Linked DNA regions of Arabidopsis thaliana. The protein of the gene in region 1 interacts with the protein of each later gene in a pairwise test. Each region holds a gene or a part of one and is shown in the gene's direction. Other genes may lie near its edges.

Evidence for each region.
Region 2: the proteins of AT1G61490 (region 1) and TBL32 interact in a protein complementation assay, tested with the Arabidopsis thaliana proteins (one large-scale study listed by BioGRID).

Annotation. Positions count from the first base shown.
Region 1 is NC_003070.9:22,684,598-22,691,423, reverse strand, and holds AT1G61490 (S-locus lectin protein kinase family protein), read left to right. Parts: upstream 1-1,812; 5' UTR 1,813-2,196; intron 2,197-2,319; 5' UTR 2,320-3,156; coding exon 3,157-4,411; intron 4,412-4,535; coding exon 4,536-4,646; intron 4,647-4,857; coding exon 4,858-5,009; intron 5,010-5,087; coding exon 5,088-5,298; intron 5,299-5,386; coding exon 5,387-5,624; intron 5,625-5,721; coding exon 5,722-5,872; intron 5,873-5,973; coding exon 5,974-6,270; 3' UTR 6,271-6,293; downstream 6,294-6,826. Other genes in the region: AT1G61500 (S-locus lectin protein kinase family protein), read left to right, coding at 267-418, 497-707, 796-1,033, 1,124-1,274, 1,402-1,695.
Region 2 is NC_003074.8:3,455,696-3,461,573, reverse strand, and holds TBL32 (TRICHOME BIREFRINGENCE-LIKE 32), read left to right. Parts: upstream 1-2,193; 5' UTR 2,194-2,273; coding exon 2,274-2,755; intron 2,756-2,845; coding exon 2,846-3,017; intron 3,018-3,190; coding exon 3,191-3,390; intron 3,391-3,508; coding exon 3,509-3,667; intron 3,668-3,931; coding exon 3,932-4,274; 3' UTR 4,275-4,572; downstream 4,573-5,878. Other genes in the region: ENGase85B (Glycosyl hydrolase family 85), read right to left, coding at 1-32, 138-245, 331-442, 509-618, 713-850, 1,039-1,542; DREB2B (DRE/CRT-binding protein 2B), read right to left, coding at 4,573-5,565.

The DNA of each region.
Region 1 (6,826 bases):
TATTGATGACTTTACTATCTAATGATCTCTTGTTGCTCTTCAATTCATTTGCTTGCAAAAGAAAAAAAGGTTTTAGGCTCTTTTACATTTGTTAGAAATTACCGATTACTAAACTAGAATAAAAGGGAGTGTTTCCACTAAATCGACGCACTAATACATGTTCTTTAAACGACAATTTGTTCTTTTGGTACATTGATTTCGGCTTTAAAAAATAAAAAAGCTTAATATGCTCACATACGATTATAACGCCATGTTTTGAATTGCAGCTCATATATCAAAGGATGCATGGAAGAATGATCTGAAACCACAAGATGTCCCAGGTTTAGATTTCTTTGATATGCATACCATTCAAAACGCCACCAATAATTTTAGTCTATCAAACAAACTCGGACAAGGTGGATTTGGTTCAGTTTACAAGGTCAGAGAATTTATCCTTTTTGCTCTTCTCGATTCTCTGTTTATACTCTCAAAATGACCTTCTGCAATTCTGTTTTAGGGAAAGCTGCAAGATGGGAAAGAAATTGCTGTTAAACGGCTTTCTAGCAGCTCTGGACAGGGAAAAGAGGAGTTTATGAATGAAATAGTACTCATCTCAAAACTCCAACACAGAAACTTAGTCAGGGTTTTGGGATGTTGCATCGAAGAAGAAGAGAAGCTATTGATTTATGAGTTTATGGTGAACAAAAGCCTTGATACCTTTCTCTTTGGTTGGTCCCTTCTTGCATCCTTCCTTTACTATTCAGTAACTTTTTATATATATGTGGAAACTGTTTGTCTGACAGTTTTATTTCTTAGATTCAAGAAAAAGGCTGGAGATTGATTGGCCAAAAAGATTTGATATCATTCAAGGTATTGCACGTGGACTTCTCTATCTCCACCATGACTCACGCCTCAGAGTTATTCACCGAGACCTGAAGGTCAGCAACATCCTTCTGGATGAGAAAATGAACCCAAAAATATCAGATTTTGGATTGGCTCGGATGTATCAGGGGACCGAATATCAGGATAACACTCGCAGGGTTGTAGGAACTCTGTAAGAATCTAATTTCAAAGACATGATTAACTAAGATTCAAAGTTAATATCAGATATTAACTTGGGAGAAACTATTTGATATATGTGCAGAGGATATATGTCTCCAGAGTATGCATGGACTGGGATGTTCTCTGAGAAATCTGACATCTACAGCTTCGGAGTTCTAATGTTAGAAATCATCAGTGGAGAGAAGATCTCAAGATTCAGCTATGGCGTAGAAGGAAAAACCCTTATTGCATATGTAAGTAAGATTTATAGGCATTGACACAGTAAGATCTTGTATTTGATTCTCATTAAGTGCGCAGATCTCGCTGACTGTTTGAAAACATGTATTGCTCTTATATTCGCTTGGTCTGAAATCACAACAGGCGTGGGAATCTTGGTCTGAATACAGAGGAATTGATCTTTTGGACCAAGATCTTGCTGATTCATGTCACCCATTAGAAGTTGGGAGATGTATTCAAATCGGCTTGCTCTGTGTACAACACCAACCTGCAGACAGACCCAACACACTTGAGTTGCTGGCTATGCTCACCACAACATCAGATCTTCCATCACCAAAACAACCCACATTTGCATTTCACACGAGAGATGACGAATCACTGTCTAACGATTTGATCACCGTCAATGGGATGACGCAATCTGTGATCCTTGGGCGTTAAGAAACCATTTGTGATGGAAATTGTGGAATTGAAGTGTGTTAAAATTGTTCTCTTAAAGAGTTCATTTTTCAGTGTTAATGACTTCACCATTGTTTAAAATAAAAACTTCAACATTGTTTAATCCAAATAAAAAGGTTTTTAACTTAAACATCTCACGAACTTGGAAGAGATTGAAGGCAACCCAGAAGAGTCGATGGATCCTTCGACCTATATGTTGGCTCATTCAGTGGTTCTCGACCCATCTCCTATTCTGGGGTTTCTTCGGTTCCAATGTGTGTCGTCTCACAACTTCTGCTCTCGCCGGTGACACCAATGTTAAATTTGGGGGAGAATCACTTAAGCCCAGATTTTGGGAGTTGGAATCAGCCATACTTCCATGTGTAGTTTCGGTCTCGATTTGGGGAACTAGAGTTCAACGACATTAGCGATTATGCACTCTAAGTGTTCGGTGAAATGCTTGAACGAGATTTAACGTAGTTTGCAGTACAAGAACTTGTTCCGGTATATCTAGTCAACAATTTAAACTGTGTTGTAAGATAAAAACAACGACTTCAGAAACCAATAAGAAAGATTTGATGTTAATTCATCTGATTTATTCATATATTCATCTTTCAATTGTTGCAGGGAATGTAGATTTGGTTCTTGGACTCCAAGACCTGGCAAGGACATGGAAACAACACAATATTTCAGTCTGAAGTCGATCGATTGGATTCTTCTAGCCAGGCTATAAATTCTCATCTTTTGACTAATGCAGGGTATACATGCCTAACATTCACTGGTTCTGGCCCAACAACTTAACAATGACATGAAAAATGTTGCTTTGTGAGGTCAAATGTTGATTGGGTAAAAGGTTAGACTTCTTGGAAATTATTGAAATTTTTTTGGTATTATGAGATAAGGTTTAGTAAAGTTTCATGGAAATTACTACTCACAATGCCAAGTGGGGAACCTAGACTGTTTTTTGCTGAGATATTGCAGCTTTGAATCAGTCAATATGTCAAGACTCTATATTGCAGACCTTTTGCTCATCTCTTGTGGTCAACATTGCTTATAGGTCCCAGAAAACAGTTCCCACAAGTCCCTGCGATTTTGCTTTTCCTGGCTAACTTTCTCACTTCGCTTCATAAACTAATGTTGAAAAATCTGATTGATTGATATTTTCATCTCAGAGTGTAGATGTCTAACTTTCATTGGTTCCAAGGTCAACTTGAATGGTTGATTGGGTTAAAAGGTTAGACTTCTCCGTGACAAACTGAAAACATAATTAATATTATTTTTATACTAATAATTTGATTGTGGATGAAGTAATGCAGAATTTTGGAACACAACTGCGGTCAGGCAGTCAGCATTGTTTTAAGGTCCTCACAAGCCCCTGACTTTGTTATTGTGACTTACTTTCTTGCTAAATAAATAATTCTTTGTTTTTTAAATTAATCTTAAGAAAATAGTTCTTGTAGACACATGGGGAAGAAGAGGATTGTGTTCTTTGCTTGTTTGCTCTTGTTTACCGTCCTATTACGTTTTAGCTATGCAGGGATAACGACAGAAAGTCCTTTGTCAGTCGAACAAACACTCAGCTCCTCTAATGGAATTTATGAATTGGGGTTTTTCAGTCCTAATAACTCCCAAAATCTGTATGTGGGAATCTGGTTCAAGGGTATCATTCCCCGGGTGGTTGTGTGGGTGGCAAATAGAGAAACACCTACTACAGACACATCGGCAAATCTTGCTATCAGCAGCAATGGTAGTCTTCTATTGTTTAATGGCAAACATGGTGTTGTGTGGTCCATCGGAGAAAATTTTGCATCTAATGGGTCTCGTGCAGAGCTTACAGACAACGGAAATCTAGTTGTCATAGACAATGCTTCGGGAAGAACTTTATGGGAAAGCTTTGAGCACTTTGGTGACACTATGCTACCTTTCTCAAGCCTGATGTATAATCTCGCCACAGGTGAGAAGCGGGTGTTGACTTCTTGGAAAACTGACACTGATCCATCGCCTGGCGTATTTGTGGGTCAGATTACACCACAAGTGCCATCACAGGTGCTTATTATGAGAGGCTCGACGCGTTATTATAGAACCGGTCCATGGGCTAAAACAAGGTTCACAGGGATACCACTAATGGATGACACATATGCAAGTCCATTCAGCCTTCAGCAGGATGCTAACGGGTCAGGATTCTTTACTTATTTTGATAGAAGTTTCAAACTTTCACGTATAATTATATCATCAGAAGGATCAATGAAAAGGTTTCGGCATAATGGAACGGACTGGGAATTAAGCTACATGGCTCCAGCCAATTCATGCGATATTTACGGTGTATGTGGACCATTTGGGTTGTGTATTGTGTCAGTACCTTTAAAGTGCAAATGCTTGAAAGGATTTGTTCCTCATTCCACTGAGGAATGGAAAAGAGGAAACTGGACTGGTGGTTGTGCGAGGCTTACGGAACTACATTGTCAAGGAAACTCTACTGGCAAAGATGTAAATATCTTCCATCCTGTTACCAACGTAAAGCTTCCAGACTTTTACGAATATGAAAGTTCTGTGGATGCTGAAGAATGCCACCAAAGTTGCCTCCACAATTGTTCTTGCTTGGCCTTTGCTTATATCCATGGAATAGGGTGCTTAATCTGGAACCAGAACCTAATGGACGCTGTGCAATTTTCTGCTGGAGGAGAAATTCTGTCCATTCGTCTTGCACACTCTGAACTAGGTACGGCTTAAAAGATAACATAGACGATCTTGTCTGTTAATTATAACTTTGTCTTCAACTCTAGTGTTCTCTTTGATAGCAATATGGTTTATTGTTTAATTTATTTATGTCTTAAATATCTCAGGTGGAAATAAGCGCAACAAAATCATTGTTGCTAGTACTGTGAGCCTTTCTCTGTTTGTGATATTGACTTCTGCTGCATTTGGTTTCTGGAGATACAGAGTGAAACATAAAGGTACACACTGATTATCATAGTATCTCTTTGTCGTTACATTTATTACAAATTACTGAAAACTTAAATTGATAAAAAGCGAAGTTTTTCCCACTACGTCAAACCTACACTAAATCGACGCACTCTATGTTCTTTGAACTATCATATGTTCTCTTTGCTTCAAAATATCTGAAGATATTATGACCTAACACGCGAGTTCTAACTCAATTTTCAGCCTATACGTTAAAGGATGCCTGGAGGAATGATCTGAAATCAAAGGAGGTCCCAGGTTTAGAATTTTTTGAGATGAATACCATACAAACTGCCACCAATAATTTCAGTCTATCAAACAAACTCGGACAAGGTGGATTTGGTTCTGTTTACAAGGTCAGGAGAAGTTATCCTTTTTGCTCTTCAAGATCCTCTGTTTATGCCCTCGAACTGACCTTCTGCAATCTGTTTCAGGGAAAGTTACAAGATGGGAAAGAAATTGCTGTAAAACAGCTTTCTAGCAGCTCCGGACAGGGAAAAGAGGAGTTCATGAATGAAATAGTACTGATATCAAAACTCCAACACAGAAACTTAGTCCGGGTTTTGGGATGTTGCATCGAAGGAGAAGAGAAACTACTGATCTATGAGTTTATGTTGAACAAAAGCCTTGATACTTTTGTCTTTGGTGGGTCACTTCTTGGTCTTTCTCTTTTTGTTTTGCAGCTTTTTCTCCCTATACCGGAATTTCTTATCTGATAACTTGTATATGGTAGATGCAAGAAAAAAGCTCGAGGTTGATTGGCCAAAGAGATTTGATATCGTTCAAGGTATTGCACGTGGACTTCTTTATCTTCACCGTGACTCACGCCTCAAGGTAATTCACCGAGACCTGAAGGTCAGCAACATTCTTCTGGATGAGAAAATGAACCCGAAAATATCAGATTTTGGATTGGCTCGGATGTATGAGGGAACCCAATGTCAGGACAAAACTCGCAGGGTTGTAGGAACTCTGTAAGAACCTGTCTTTAATAACATGCTTGGCAAGATTCATTGTCATGTTAGTCCAATATTAAACTAGGTGATATGATACTATTTTATTTTTGACCAGAGGATATATGTCTCCTGAGTATGCATGGACCGGAGTATTCTCTGAGAAATCAGACATTTACAGCTTCGGAGTTCTACTGCTAGAAATTATCATCGGAGAGAAGATCTCAAGGTTCAGCTATGGCGAAGAAGGAAAAACACTTCTCGCATATGTAAGTTAATTCTTTATGTTTTCACACATTTACAAAGGATTTCAAAAGTGGTTCTTGCTCTGATACTCTTTAAGATATGAAACTAAACGTCTAAACAACAGGCATGGGAATCTTGGGGTGAAACCAAAGGAATTGATCTTTTGGACCAAGATCTTGCTGATTCATGTCGTCCGTTAGAAGTTGGAAGGTGTGTTCAGATTGGTCTGCTCTGTGTACAACACCAACCTGCAGACAGACCAAACACACTTGAGTTGCTGGCTATGCTCACGACAACATCAGATCTTCCATCACCAAAACAACCCACATTTGTAGTGCACTCTAGGGATGATGAATCATCTCTGTCTAAGGATTTGTTTACCGTCAATGAGATGACACAATCTATGATCCTTGGGCGTTAAGAAACCACCGTGATGGAAATTGTACTACTGATGTTGATAACTTCAATTTTATTATCATTTTTTTTTATGAATGTTGAAATCTTCAGAACTGATCCATTCTTTTATTGCGTTTTTTTTTCGTTCTTTAAGAAACCATTTAGTTGGTGTATTACCCATGGTTCTTTAAGAAAAGCTTTAAAGTTGCGCTTTAGGCTTACAAGTTACTGATTCTGAGGCTGACACAGTGTTTCAAGCTAAGGATTCATTTCGTTGGGTCCAACTGGTGAAAATTGTTTAGAGGTGCTTATTTTAGACGAGTCATCACTCATCACTACTTCATTATTGTCTAAGAAATGTCTGATTAATTAAACATTGATGTATCTTTCACAGATTAGGTCAATCAATGCGTGATTGATTGGGTTAAATGTCGGGTTCTTAAAGTCAGATTGACCATTCGATTGATGCAAGAGTATATATTCCTATCATTGACAAGAACATGAAAATGACAATGTTGCTATGGGAGAAACAGATTGGGTAAAAACGTTGGACTTTTTCGTGGCCATTACATAAGTATTAT
Region 2 (5,878 bases), on another chromosome or scaffold:
TTTCTCTTCAGCAAATCCAGAGCAGCATTTACCTAGCATGTAAAAGAATAGGAAGAAAAGAAATATTTAAGTATAGATCATTGTTTTGTACTCTACACCAATAGAGAAGCAAATATTAAAGAGTGGCTGAGACATACAGTCCATTGCCCACCACCAAAAGAGCCCCGCCCAAAAACATCAATTCCCATGTAGACATCGAATTTTCTGTCCCCAGCAACTTCAGCTGATAGGTTTGGGTAGCTCTCCTGATACATCATTACTCACTAATAGTAAAACAAGACAAATAGAAGAAACTGAGACTCGAGAGATTGATCAAACCCATAGACAGACCTTCCATGTGTAGTTCATGAATATTCCATCGCATAAGTCAAAGAAAGGTTTGTTCAGCTCAGTCAATTGATCTTGCCACTGAAGATTACCACGAACAGTGACACTGTCATACCTGCAGAAAGTTATCAGAACAAAGTGGTATACAAAAAGAACAAAGAAAAACTTCTGATCAACTCACCATATGACTAAAGCCCCAGGTGTCGATAAATGCAAGACTTTTTTTAGATGGCTGACGAATTCCTTCATATTTGGAATCTGTTCCTCATCTATATCATTCTCTATATTTATCTGCAAGTGACAGTCTATATATTATAGAAGTCTTTCTTCACCAGCCACCCATCAAATACAGATATCTTATAAAAACCAAGCAAAAAATGCTCACCAGCCACCCATCAAAGCCTAGAGCAGTAGCAAGTTCAGCCAAACGCTCTGCATACATTTGAGCAGACTCCTTTGTGGCAAGCATCTCTTTGCAGGTAGCTTTTCCTTCATCCCATTCTGTGATGAAAGTCCCCAATACCTTTATATTTCCATAACACACAAGAAAGTAAACACTTTTACCAATAAAATCCTCAGCAATATTCATATCTCTGTACACAAACAATCAAACTCTCTAATTTTATCATCCTAATCAGCAAACTCAGAGATATCTCAATAAAAATCGAAACTTTGGATGTTGAACAATCAAAAAGTTTTGAGCTTACTTACTTTAACGCCATGCCTATGAGCAGTATTGGTCCAGCAAGGAGGAGGAATAGTGACCAGAGAATGAGAGAAGTAAACAAAAATGTCCATCAAGTACCAATGCCAAATCGCAAATCCGGCTTCGTTTTCACACCCTTGTACCCACTTGTCATCTACATACCCTCCTTTCATGTCATGGCAGACTAAAACCCTTGGGCGATTCGGTAAACAGTCGGAGTTTCGGCGGAAAGGTACTGTGGAGCGATTAAACTGGAAATGAAAGGAATCAAAGTAAGAGCGAGATTTCAGGTCTTGAAGAGCTTTGATCGGGAAAGATATAGGTAACGATGGCTTGACAAGATCAAGCAACGGAACGGCTTCAGATTGTGCAACGTCGTCATCGTTGGATTTGGGCATGAGGAGAGAGAGGGGAAATGAAGTGAGGAGCTTACGGGAGAGGGTGAAGAAGAGATTGTAAAGAGATACGAGAGTTCTTCGAGAGAAATAGGCGCGAAGAAGTTCTCGCATTTTGCAGTGGTCAACGAAGGAAGATGATGACGATGGCTTTTTATTTAATTTATTCTTCTTTTGGTTTATTCGTACGCCAAATTAAAGAAGAAAAAAAACAGAGCATGTGAATTTATCATTCTTTTGATGTGAATCTAAACGACATGACAATTTCATTTTTTTTATAAAGTAAACTTACACGAAAGCAGAGAGATAAGATATTTATATGGGCCTTGGCCTGTGATTACTGATTAAGGCATGAAAAGTTGGATTCTTCTTTATTGGATCTGATAAAATGCTTATAAGGCCTTTGAATACAAACAAAGTTAAATGTTATTGTTGATCCTTTAAAAGTTCAAACATGTGATTAGCAAAAAGTGTAGTGGCTTTTCTTGCTTTCTTTTTGTTTTATAACACCGTAATCCAAATTGGAATTCAGACTAATTTGGAGATAGATAAGTTCATTGGATACAAGCAACGAAATTGTTCCAATTTTGTAAGTTTGAATTAAAATATAAACAGTCGTGCTTAATTATGGGCAAGAACATGGGTTTGGTTTTGGATCGTGCAAGTACAACAAATTATAGCTTTGTTTATAAACATTAAAATCATATACTATAATAATTCAGTATACTCCAAATTAAAGTTTTAATCAAACCAAATTTTGTCATTACTACACCATAAAAAGAGAAAGGCGTAAAAAGGAAAAAGAAAAAAAAAGGTAAACGTTATAATAAAAGAAAAAAAAAAATATGACAACGGCGTTGTTTTCACCGTCTAACCGTAGAAAACGCCGTCTCACACACTTCTTCTTCACCGTACTCGCTTTCATCTTACTCGCCGCCTTCATCTACGGCCACGATTTCATCTCTTTCTCTCGTCGATCTCTTCACTCTCCGACGATCGTCCACCAATCCGCAATCGTCGTTGTAGTTGACGAACCTCCTCCGCCTCCACCAACATCTCCTCCTCCGCCTTCTCCTCCACCACCGTCTCCTCCACCACCATCTCCTCCACCGCCATCTCCTCCGCCACCTGCTTTTGCAGTAGGTAAAACGCCGGAAGGATGCGATGTCTTCAAAGGGAATTGGGTCAAAGACTGGTCAACGCGTCCACTTTACAGAGAATCCGAGTGTCCGTACATTCAGCCGCAGCTCACTTGCCGCACGCATGGCCGTCCCGATAGTGATTATCAGTCATGGAGATGGCGACCTGATTCCTGCTCACTTCCTTCGTTAGTCTCTCTCTCCGTTCGATTTTGAATGCGATTCGGTGATTGATCTTCAGATCGGATTTGCTCTGTGGTTGTTGAATGTGTTAATAGGTTTAATGCGACGGTGATGTTGGAGAGCTTAAGAGGGAAGAAGATGATGTTCGTTGGAGATTCGTTGAACAGAGGAATGTATGTTTCTCTCATCTGTCTTCTTCATTCACAAATCCCAGAGAACTCCAAATCCATGGATACTTTCGGATCACTCACCGTCTTCTCTCTCAAGGTAAGTTTGGTTCAGATTTAGAAAGTCTTGCGGAAGCCATTGAAGTTGCTTTGTAGAATCTGATGTTACAATTCATAGAGATCTGAGTATGAGGATGACAAAGATTAAGCTTAGATGTGAAAACTGTTGGCTTGGTTAGGATTCTTATAGATTCTTGTGGTATGTTTATGTAGGATTACAATGCAACGATTGAGTTCTATTGGGCACCGTTTCTTCTAGAATCGAATTCAGATAACGCAACAGTTCATAGAGTATCAGATCGAATTGTGAGGAAAGGATCGATCAACAAACACGGTAGGCATTGGCGAGGGGCTGATATAGTTGTGTTCAACACATACTTGTGGTGGAGGACTGGCTTCAAAATGAAGATCTTGTATGTTATCAATCATGAAATTTAAAGCTCTCGTCATTGTTTCTTAAGTATAGGTTCTCAAATACTTTTCTGTATAATACTTATGATTTGATTATTTTTTTCGATTTGTTATTTGAAGGGAAGGTTCTTTCAAGGATGAGAAGAAGAGAATCGTTGAGATGGAGAGTGAAGATGCTTATAGAATGGCGTTGAAGACTATGGTTAAATGGGTGAAGAAGAATATGGATCCATTGAAGACGAGGGTTTTCTTTGCTACCATGTCTCCTACTCATTACAAGTCAGTAACTTCTTGAACTTTACTGTGATTTAACTATCTATAAACACTTCAAATTCAAAACCAGGAACCAAAAAGAGAGGAGATATATGGCTTAGAACAATGTAGTCCGGATTTGGTATTGAATGAAATGAGTAATGGAGTTTAGATTGATCCGGTTTATCTTTAATAGTTTAAGTAAATGTGGCTTATAACATGATCCGCAATTAGAAACCACACTAAGATTTAGCATACAAAGGTTTCATATTTGTCTACCTCCATGATCAGGGGCGAGGATTGGGGAGGCGAACAAGGAAAAAATTGTTACAATCAAACGACACCGATCCAAGACATGAACCATTGGCCATCAGACTGCAGCAAAACCTTAATGAAAGTGATAGGAGAGGAATTAGACCAAAGAGCAGAGTTTCCGGTGACGGTACTTAACATTACACAACTCTCTGGCTATCGGAAAGACGCGCACACGTCAATCTACAAGAAGCAATGGAGCCCATTGACGAAGGAGCAGCTAGCAAATCCGGCTAGCTACTCAGACTGTATACATTGGTGCTTGCCTGGTCTTCAAGATACTTGGAACGAGCTTTTCTTTGCCAAGTTATTTTATCCATGATTCTTTTCTCTAAATTCAAGATTTTTTTAGAACTGTAATTGTAAATTATGGTTATAATTTTTGTTAATTACGTACACTTATTGTTCTACAAAGAGAAGAAAGAGAGAAACTCTGCTATTCGCTATATTAACTCAATAGATGAGAAGCAACAGTTCATGATCCAAGGAAAGAACAAAAACTATAGAGTTATTAAATATTTTTTCATTGTGAATCAGATCATTAACACCTATTTCTTGTTTCTCCTATGATCAATCCAAAGATTATGTTGTAGTCTTGTAGGACCATTGCCTCAGAACTCTCAAATATCCAGAGAACTCAAACCATTGAACTCGTGACCATCGTGTGGCTCGAGATGAAGCGGATGCAAATCATAACTACCAGAATTTACGTGGTTTTGGTCTTGGCTCTGATGGGGACCAGGTTCATTCAAATCTCCAAGGAGTTCATTAATATCAAAGCACTCATTAGGATCCCAAGAAGTCTGATCATTTACAATATCATTAGACCAAGGCCAACCGTAATCTGCAACAGTAAGCAAATCCGGTTGCAGCTGTTGCTGTTGCTGTTCCTGTTGCTGTTGCTGTATCTCCTCTTCTTCCTGCTTCGGTTTCTCTTTCTCCTGCAAAACTTGGCCCCAATACTGCTGCTCAAACTCTAACAGCAAATCGTAATTCAGCGAAGAATTCATATCTTGATGTCCAACCGTGCAACTGTCCGGCCTGGTTCCACAAGACTCTTCTCTAACATCTAAAATCTGACTAAATGGATTAGATTCACAATCAGTATCTTCATGCTTCACACAAACATCACCACAAACAACCGCCTTATTTTCAACCGTACACACCTCAGATTGACTAGACGTACTAGTAAACTCAGACCCAACAGACTGAGGGAAGTTAAGACGAGCCAATGAACCGTACATAGCGGTAGCCGCTTCATCATAAGCGGAAGCAGCTTTTTCCGCGGTAGGAAAAGTACCAAGCCAAAGTCTAGTTCCTATTTTCGGTTCTCGAATCTCTGCAACCCATTTACCCCAAATCCTTTGTCTAACTCCTCTAAAACTACAGTGAGAATTATCTGGTCCTCCTTTACCCTTCATACAACCTTTCTTCGACCCTTTCGCAGGAACTTTGCGTTTCGGTTTCTCTCCTTCTTTAACAGCCGAAGCTTCAACAATCTCGTTGTACTCTTTCCACTTCTTTAGCCTATCAGCCACCGTTAAACCACCTGCTCGAGCCCTAGATTTCCTTTTCTTCGGCTGCTCGGTTCCGGTTTGTTCATATACAGCCATCTTCTTCTTTATAGTCGCAATCTAAGAATCTACAAGATAGGAAAAAAAAAGGTTTTGAATCAGTCTCTTCCTCTCAATTTCAGAAAACAGAAATTATCGAGTCACGGAATTTATAGTTATAAAGAGGAACAGAAACAACTTGGGCACCAAGGGTGTTTTACTTGCTCACCAAGTTTTACTTTATTAATAGAAAAGCAAAAATCGCATTAGAATTTCCAATTTTTTAACCCGAGTCTTAGATTAAAGAAACCGTGTAAAAAAAAATAAACGCTAAATTAGAAAATTTCCCAAATTTCTCTCAAAAACAGCGAAA